2 linked regions of the Arabidopsis thaliana genome follow. The protein of the gene in region 1 interacts with the protein of each later gene in a pairwise test. Each region holds a gene or a part of one and is shown in the gene's direction. Other genes may lie near its edges. The genes, in order: AT2G35900 and ATG8F.

Region 1 (4,331 bases):
GACCAACAACGGCGTCGTGTTGTGCCATTTGTTTAGGAGACTACAAGGGAAAACATCTGCTGCGGCAGCTACCAGATTGCAACCATCTCTTCCACCTTAAATGTATCGACACGTGGCTTAGACTCAATCCTACGTGTCCTGTGTGTCGGACTTCGCCGCTTCCAACTCCTCTGTCTACTCCCCTCGCCGAGGTTGTCCCTTTAGCCTCCTCCGTGGCCGCCACAAGAATGTCCTAGTGATTTGTTTATTTTATAACCGAAGAAATCGAAATCTTGACTAATCTCCGGCTTAAACTCGTTATTAATTCTTCTTTTAATTCCTTGTAAATTTGTTATTTTTGGTCACTAACTGATCACTGTATATACACTCTTCGAAGCCGAAGATTTGTAAGAGAAAGGAGGTTAAGGATGAATTTTTCACAATTTTGTTGGATTAGTTTTTCTTTAAGCAATGTGAACGAGTTTATCTATACATACGTACCAAGAAAGAGTAATTAAAGTCGTTTTGAATATTGGCAAATATGTTTCTTGGCTTGTATTGAACTTTGAGAGATCATTTTAAATATTGAGACGTCAAAGAAAAAAAAAAGAGTTTGAGGACAAGTTGGAACTTAAGATAATGGGATCGAATCAATTAGGCGTTTTTGATAGTCAGTCTGACAATCTTTCTCAATCATATGGTTTATTTATTAGCAATTTTTTTTTTGTTAAACAAAACCAGATATTTAACAGCGTATTTGTCTTATTGGGTAAACCGTTAGCCAATACATATGATGATATGAGAAAAAGACTTTTATGAGGACCTTAAGAAAAGATATAAAACGTTGATTAAGAGATATAAATCAAGAAGAAAAAAAACACTTGAAAACGATTGTTTTTGTCTCCAATCTCAAGCTGGCTGAAATTAAGTAGGTGAGATGATAAAAATGAGTTGACCATGATAAAACTACTCTTATCTTATTTAAAGTATTCGGTAAACAAAAATATTACTCCAAATATTAGGAACCATGATCGAGAGAGAAAACATGGTGAAAAGCTCAATTTCTCATTAATGATTCAAAGAGTTTGTTACAATCGTTTATAGTCAACAGACTCAATAACCAGAAATAACCAAAGATATGCTCAAATTCATTTTTACAAACACTCAAAAGTGATATGCTCTTTCTCTCGGCTCTGTATTCCTTTCATAACAAGACAAACCGAGGTCGTTCAAACCATCATCGGTAACGTCGAAGGCTTCAACTTGAAGCAATGATGCTGATTTAAGACTTATTGTGCTAGGCTTCTTAATATTTTGGCCCATCTGCCAGAATTAATGATGAATACTTTCATATTGGGCCCTGAGAAATTGACTAAGACCCAATTGTTCACAGCAATGTCAAAAAATTTACCCAAAAAATCTTTCTTTCCCATCTTTTAACTTCAACTTTTATTACTTTTTATATAATCTATTTTCCTTAATAAGAAAATTAAATACTGAATAAATTCTAAATATTTGATACATTCTAAACATTTTTATTATGTAATGGTGAATGTCTAAGTATTTCTCAAAATTTTAGTTACAACTCTGATCTACTAAGAAAGTATCTATGAAAAAAAAGAATAAGATACAAGGTAATAAAATGAGTGGATCTTAAACGCGAATACAATAAATCAAACAATTTGAGACGCATCATACGTTAAAAATCTATTAACCAGCGGTCTTCCGGTTCAGATTGAGAAATTTGACTACTTTAGTTTGGTTTGATTTGGTTCAAACTTTTTTCCGACCCGTGAAGAAAAAGAAAATCCTCACGCGCCGGTAAGTCGGTTTCACGAACAAAGAGGCCTGAGTATAAAAAAACAAATCGGACGCTTCGAGTTTTTCTTGAGGAAGAATCCACACACACACAGAAGAAGAATCTCATCACGAATTTTAGCTATGGGTTGGATCTGGATTGACGATTCATCCGCCTCTAAAGCCGGTGCTGATCTCACCGATAAACCGCTCGGAGATTCTGCCGCCGCCGCCGAAAATTGCTCCACGACCACGGTGGTAAGATCTCAGTGCAAGACGGAGGAGGTCGAGCCTGGAAAGTTCGTCAGGAAATGCGACAAAACAGAAGAAATCCTCCGCCACTGTTTTGGGAAGTGAGTGTTTCGGATATTTTCTCGCTTTTGATCATAACCCTAATTAAGCAAAAGATAAGCTTTTAGATTTTGAATTACATGTGGAAAACAAATCTCCAGGGTTTATAGATCAAATAGATGAAGTGTGTTTGTTTTGAGCTCTGAGTTAAAAAATTTTGACGTTTTTGTGGTTATGTAAAAGCTAAAAGCCAATAGTTAAAGATTGACTCTAAATTTGTGTTTCTGATGCTAAGCTTACTAATATGAATTGCAGAAAGATAGTTGTGTTTATGCACTGGAATGGTTACATTGCTTACTTCTTGTGGTTTGATGTTGTTTTCTTCGAAAGGACTCTCTATCACTGAACCATTATGGTAAAAATGTTTCATTATAAAAGTTCTTATGATTTTATCATCTTTGTAGTGTTATAACTTGCATGTTTTTTTTGGTTAAGTAAGTGGAGCAACTGCTGGTTAGTCTTTTTTGGGTTAAGTAAGTGGAGTATTCTCATATAAGAAGAAGATGCATAGAGTATCACATCACAGTTTCTGTGTATTCGGCGAGCTTCATGTTTGTTTGTTTGCTACCTGTGATATGAGTTATTCCATGTTAAATGTAATGCTTTCCTTTGGAAGACAACTCTTGTTTTCTTTCTCGCCCTTTCATGTGTGATTTTGAGATTGAGCCATTAAAATGTTCAAGCACCTTGATTGTTTGTTACCTTTCGCGCCTCTAGACAATCACTAAATCGATTTACCCTTGGTTCTGTATCTGCTTTAGGCCCTCTGAAGTCGTTCAATCCAACACAGAGCACACAGAAGAGGATGTGACAGACCAGATGGTGGGAAGATCCGCTCTTCCGAATCAGTTTGAGGATAAAAACCCGCTAAACTTCCCGGGACTCCGCAGAGATGTAGACGCCATCGAACGCCATTTCTTGAGCGGAATGAAGAGTTTCTTTGATGCGGCTGAAGAGATGACAAGCAGCTTATTTGATATCATGGGAGACCATCACCCAAGCACCAGGAGAGGAGGGATACCCATTGAAAACCATCCCAAGGTAGAGGAGCACCGCAATGACGAAACTGCCCCTACACGACCACACTCCTCTGGCGAGATTGATCTCTCGGGCTTGGCCAAGGACGTTTGAGAAAGGTCGTCTGCTTCTTCTTCTTCTTCTTTTTTTTTTTCACAAAGGTCGTCTTGTTCTAGCTTTTGGCATATATAATCTTAAAAATGTAATGTGACTTTCTAAGAAGCGTGGGGATTGTAGTCTAATGTTAGCGGCTTGCACGTTTTTCCGAGTGGGTGCTACTACTATCTATCAATATCATCATACTACTATATTACTATGTGTTATGCTTGTGTCTTTTATTATCACTTTGTCTTAAAAGTTATTTTACATTTTTAAACATGTTACCTTATACAATTCGTACCTTTCATTAAATGGTAATAAAATAATAATGGTCAAAGTAGAGTGATATGCTTGAGTGGAATTAAAGATTTGAAATCTAACCTTACGTTTTTTGAAAGATTGGTTACCATTTTGTGGCATGGAGTAATTTAGAAAATAACAAGAAATATACTTTTTTGGTCTTCAATTGAGTTTGAAGATTTTTCTTAACAATTAATTAATTACGGAGTTTAAAGGGACCAAATTGTTAATCAATGTATTCACACAGACACTAAATAATCTCTAACACAACCTCACAGAGTCATATGTTAGAGGAGAGAATCAAACAAGTTTATTTAATTGAGAAAGGCCAAAAACCCTAATAAATCCCCCCAAAAAATTCAGTCACGACGTGAGACCCAATTCCTTTTCGTCAAATCATCTTCCTTCTCAATTCCCATTTTCTTATTCTTCGTTTTTCATTTTGTGCATTGTGTGTGTTTCTTACCAAAGGAGATGATTCGTAGCATTTTGTGAGAATTGATTAAATTATTCAGCCGACCTCGAGATCTTTCTCCCTTAGATCAGAATTCATTTGTGGGAGATTTATCTGTCTTTCTTCATGGAAGTGGTTATGTTGTTAGATAGGAGAGATCTTTGTCTCTATGAGATCATGTTAAGGGTTTTTTCTCTTGCGTGAAAAGGAAGGAAAAAAAGGAAGAAAAGGGACTTTTCCTCTCTATCTTTTTACGATTCTCTGTATACGTTTCTCGTGTAGATTATTGTATAGCATATAGTTGATTGGGAGATTTAGATTGTAGAAATGGGGA
Region 2 (4,848 bases), on another chromosome or scaffold:
TGTTGGTTGCATGTTTATACTGAATTAAACATTTGCTTCGAATATTTTAGACCAATAAAAATGGTAGAAATATTTTGATCGGTTGACATTTTTGACCGAGAATAGTGGTCGAAAACATCTTACCAAAAAGTGGTCAAAACTTAATGACCAAAATAATGGTGAATATTATTTTTTACCAATTTTCGACCATATATTTCAATCTGACTAACTTATATACAAGATTGGAATATAAGTATAAATCAAAATTCAATTTAATTCTTAAATATTTGATTCATAATAACTTAATAAAAATAAAAATATAATTTAAAATACACAAAAAAACAATACTTTTATACAAGAAATCAATTTTAAAATTATTTGATTAACAAATTTTAAAAATATTTGAGTTTTTGTTTTCCTTAACAAAGTTACCATGTGACTAATATATCTCTCCAATCTTAAGAGTTGGAGTTTGAAACTCTTCTTAACAGAAAAACTCTTTCATGAATGCGGTAAATCTGGAGCTACATGTATAGGTATGTGGAATGCATTTATATCAACCTTAGGCACAAATAGTGAATGCTTCAAAGCAATCCAAGTCTTTGAGAACATTCCTTCCACCTTGATCAAAACTCACTCAACATTTTGGAACGTGATGGTAACTTGTACACATGCTCGACAAACTGAGTATGGGCATTATCTTCTTGCAAGGATAGTCAAGACTCTATGGATAGAACCAACTATTGAAATAATGGGGACATATTTAGACGGCTTGGCTAGAGGAAAAGTGATTGATGAGGCATAACGAGTTGTCAAGACTTTGATTTTCAAGCCTAACTAGGAGATTGCTGTGAGTCTTTTATCAAAGTACAAAAGCCATTCAACACCCATTGAGTTTGCTAAACGTTTTGTGAGGTACCTTGAAGAGAAGAAAGTCACCTTCTACATTGCTGGAACGACTTATAAGGTACTAGACGAAGATGGGGTGGAGTGGAAATCTAATGTCAAGATTAAGAAACAGAAGAAAGGAAAATCCACAATCCACTCCCATTAGAGCAGTTCAAAGTACTATATATTGCTGCACAGCTAAATCATTCGTCAAAGGCATTTCTTAACCATGCTATTTGACCTGAGGTTACGAGAGTAAGGATATAATTGTATTGATTGTTTTGAAACAGTGAAATAAACATGAAAAAGTGCAGTGAAATAAACATGAAAAAGTGCATACTCCCACATATGTGCCCCATATGCTCTAACAAACTTGATAAGTGTCATACGTAGTGAGATACCCTTATATTTTTTTTAGCTTTTTATATACTATTGCTTACAAACCTTATTAATATAGTTAAATAATTAGGGTGGGCATCGGTTTGGATTAAGTAATGATTTTGGATAATGATTAAAAAATAATTTTGATTTTTTTTTCAACTTCAGAAAACTCAATCTTAACTTTTAAAAATGTTTATGTCTTTTCACAACTATAATATTTTATATCTATAAGTAAAAAACTTGTTAGAAAACTTATCTTACTTTGATAAAAGATTCATTTTGATTAATTATCTTTGTTATCCTGTAAATTCTCGGTTTTGACATTAATCACTCAATTCCGGTATTTTAATAAATTACAAAATGAGTTTTGTGCAGTGTTGAAGATATATTCTCAAATACAGTAATTGCTTTCAACCCTTGATTTCGAAATGCCTAAGCTTGAAATCCTAAGCTGTCCATACACCAAGACCTACATCTCCAGATCTCTATAACAGTCATAAAAAAACTTCTGCCTATACTTTATTTATTAGTTTTCATATTTCCATCCGTTTATTTGCAAGGCCCATTACTGCACTAGGCCCTACATTTTGTTAGAAGAGGCAAAGCTTATAAGCGACATTCTCAATTTCCAACTATTACCCTTCCGAACTCTTCACCTAACACACATTTTCTAGGGGTAAACGTGTCATATCGTATGCAGAAACGTGATCCCAGCATATCCGGTTCTTCTTTATCCTTTGTTGGAGGCAATATCTACGTAGACAGTTACCTCGTACACCTTCAGTAAAATGGACGGTTGAGATTCCTATTTCAGTAAATAGCTAATATCTACCGTCAGATTCTCACTGAACAGATTAAGCATACAACGTCAGCTGAAGTGTTTAGATGTTACCATACACCATCTGTAGAGAATCTCTGACCTTATCGCATAATTTTTTAATGTTTTGCAGAATTTTTGTAGGTTGCTTATTTGCTTTTTCTTTCATATTTTTTCGTTAATTGTTGTTGTTATCTTCAACGATAGCGTTGTGCTCTGGAGAAGTGTTTGATCGCAGAAAAGCTTCGTTCTTTGTAGTCTACAGGTTTGATCACTGAGTTCTTAACTTCTTTTTTGGTTTGATTGCGATCCTGTACTTTCGTTTAGATTACTTAAAGGTTGGGTCTTTAACATGATCGACTGATAGATTTGTGGGAATTTTGATAATCTGAGTTCCAGAGTTTGGGAATTGATGATTTGATTTGAGTGTTAAATTTGTTTTGATGGTTGTCTGATTGGTGTCACCTATTTGTTATGTGTGTGTAGGCGTGGAAGGAATGGCAAAAAGCTCGTTCAAGCAAGAGCATGACTTAGGTTTGGATTTGAGCTTTGTTCTTGCTTTACTGTTTGGTCCTCGAAATCAAAACCTTGTGCTTTGATCTAATGATCCTGTTTCCTAAATCTTCAGAGAAGAGAAGGGCAGAGGCTGCTAGGATTAGAGAGAAGTATCCTGATAGGATTCCGGTGAGACTTTCAGTGTCTCTCTTATACATTGATCGATCATACATTTCTAAAGTTATATGTGATTAGCATATTGTTTCCCTTTCTATGTTCGGATCAATCTTTTGTGTTTGACTGAGTTTATGCAGGTTAAGTTGTTGTGGTTTATGGCCCAGCAATATGGTAGTAATGAACTTATTGGGATATAATGAACTTATTGGGATAGCATCTGGTTTTAAATGGACACCCTACCCGACTAAAGGATGGTTATCAAGTTATTATTGTTTGATTAGCTTCATGCTTGTGATATATGTTTGCCACTGTTTCAACTACATGGAGTTGATTGAGTTATAGTGACTATAACAACATTAGGACTTTGAATTTAGTTGTCATTTTTTGGAACGTGACTTTCTGAAACTCGATTCTTACTGAGTACTTACGGCTTAGATAAGTAGATTTGCATGATTCATGTGGCTACGTGCTTTATGATTCACATGGTAAAAATGACACTTGAGATGATGATTTCCACGCATTTATATTTTTGTGGGATCCAGGTGATTGTTGAGAAGGCTGAGAAGAGTGATATACCAACCATCGACAAGAAAAAGTAAGCATATAAATGGCATCAGTATCCTTTTCATTCGGACCTGACTTGTTAATAATAGTGATTGATAACTAAGCTTTTTTCAAATTTGCAGGTACCTAGTCCCGGCTGATCTGACTGTGGGGCAGTTTGTGTATGTCATTCGCAAAAGAATCAAATTGAGTGCAGAAAAGGCTATCTTCATATTCGTGGACAATGTTCTTCCTCCAGCAGGTAAACAGATAGATCTCCTCTGTATTCAAGACTCAGGAGTTTCATTATCTTTTAACACAAGTAACAAGAGCATAAGAAGGCGTCTACTTATATGTTCCCCGGTGATTATAAATTCTTTATATTTGGCTGATCTGATCTGGTAACTTTGCAGGTGCGCTCATGTCTTCTGTGTACGAAGAGAAAAAGGATGATGATGGGTTCCTCTATGTCACTTACAGCGGAGAAAACACATTTGGATTTGGATCTCCATAATAGAGACCTCTTGCTGGATATTTCATTTTACTCCTCTCTATTTTCACCAAATATTTCATCTTCTTATTAATTACTAAGCAAGCAAGCCACCTATGTACTTATTCTCTAAGGACCTTTGGTCGGGCGTTAATATGTACAGAAAACATAAAATAATGTATATAATCTTCTTTCAAGGATCTAAAAACCTACTTTAGGTGAATCTATCACATCTCCCTCTTGACTTTGTTGTGTTTTTTTTGATGTCTTCAATCTATAAGCCGACATAACACGTCGCTTATGGCACATGGGCCATGACAGTTCCAAATTGCAAAGCCTAAGTGAAGAGAAGTTATATCACCAAACTCAATAGAAGTGCAAGCACAAGGGAACTGTGCCACGTGGCAGACATGGTCGGTACCGGTTGAAGGTTGGCCGGCGACGATCTTATAAAGGTCCCACATTGTCGTTGACGGAGAGAAGGAGGAGACGGTCGGACCATGCTGGCTTGTTTCTCATCTTACACTTTTCAATATTGATTTTTGTTTCATATATTTATTTGTTCACAGTTTTAGCTCGATTTATGATCGTCAAAGATTGTAATTCAAGGTTCCAACCGGTCACGTGGAACATGAGAGACGCGGTTGTGTTTTTGGGATTTTGGACCATTGAAGTGAAAGTTGAATGTAAAAGCTTTTCATAACTTGTGAGTGTTTTGTCCAAAGAAATCAATGTCAAATAGTGTAGTGATAAGAAGGTGATCGATTAGGACTTAAGAGAGTAAACACGTCGGTCATACAATAATGGCGTGGATGAAAAAGGTGAAGAACCGGAGAATAAGGTGAGCAAATGGAAGAAAGGAAAATGAGAATGCAGGAGATGATGACCCCACGAAGACTCTCAAGTAGACAAAAGGTTTGGCCGATCAAGACACCCATATACATACGATAGATATGTATGTTGAATGTAAAATATATTTGAATAATAGACAAGAGAGAAGATTAAAAAGAAATAAAAGAGAAGAGGAACAAGAGCATGTTATGATAATGAAGGACCCCTCCCCCCACCTGTATTTAAT

The links.
Region 2: the proteins of AT2G35900 (region 1) and ATG8F interact in a two-hybrid assay, tested with the Arabidopsis thaliana proteins (one large-scale study listed by BioGRID).

What each region holds. Positions count from the first base shown.
Region 1 is NC_003071.7:15,069,130-15,073,460, reverse strand, and holds AT2G35900 (Mal d 1-associated protein), read left to right. Parts: upstream 1-1,631; 5' UTR 1,632-1,920; coding exon 1,921-2,129; exon of another isoform or gene 2,130-2,408; coding exon of another isoform or gene 2,409-2,482; intron 2,483-2,888; coding exon 2,889-3,258; 3' UTR 3,259-3,589; downstream 3,590-4,331. Other genes in the region: AT2G35910 (RING/U-box superfamily protein), read left to right, coding at 1-236; CPK25 (calcium-dependent protein kinase 25), read left to right, coding at 4,325-4,331.
Region 2 is NC_003075.7:9,305,828-9,310,675, reverse strand, and holds ATG8F (Ubiquitin-like superfamily protein), read left to right. Parts: upstream 1-2,137; 5' UTR 2,138-2,330; exon of another isoform or gene 2,331-2,551; 5' UTR 2,552-2,562; coding exon 2,563-2,599; intron 2,600-2,693; coding exon 2,694-2,749; exon of another isoform or gene 2,750-3,186; coding exon of another isoform or gene 3,187-3,279; coding exon 3,280-3,332; intron 3,333-3,423; coding exon 3,424-3,542; intron 3,543-3,693; coding exon 3,694-3,794; 3' UTR 3,795-4,337; downstream 4,338-4,848. Other genes in the region: RGF6 (root meristem growth factor), read left to right, coding at 4,847-4,848. UniProt on the Arabidopsis thaliana protein: Ubiquitin-like modifier involved in autophagosomes formation. May mediate the delivery of the autophagosomes to the vacuole via the microtubule cytoskeleton.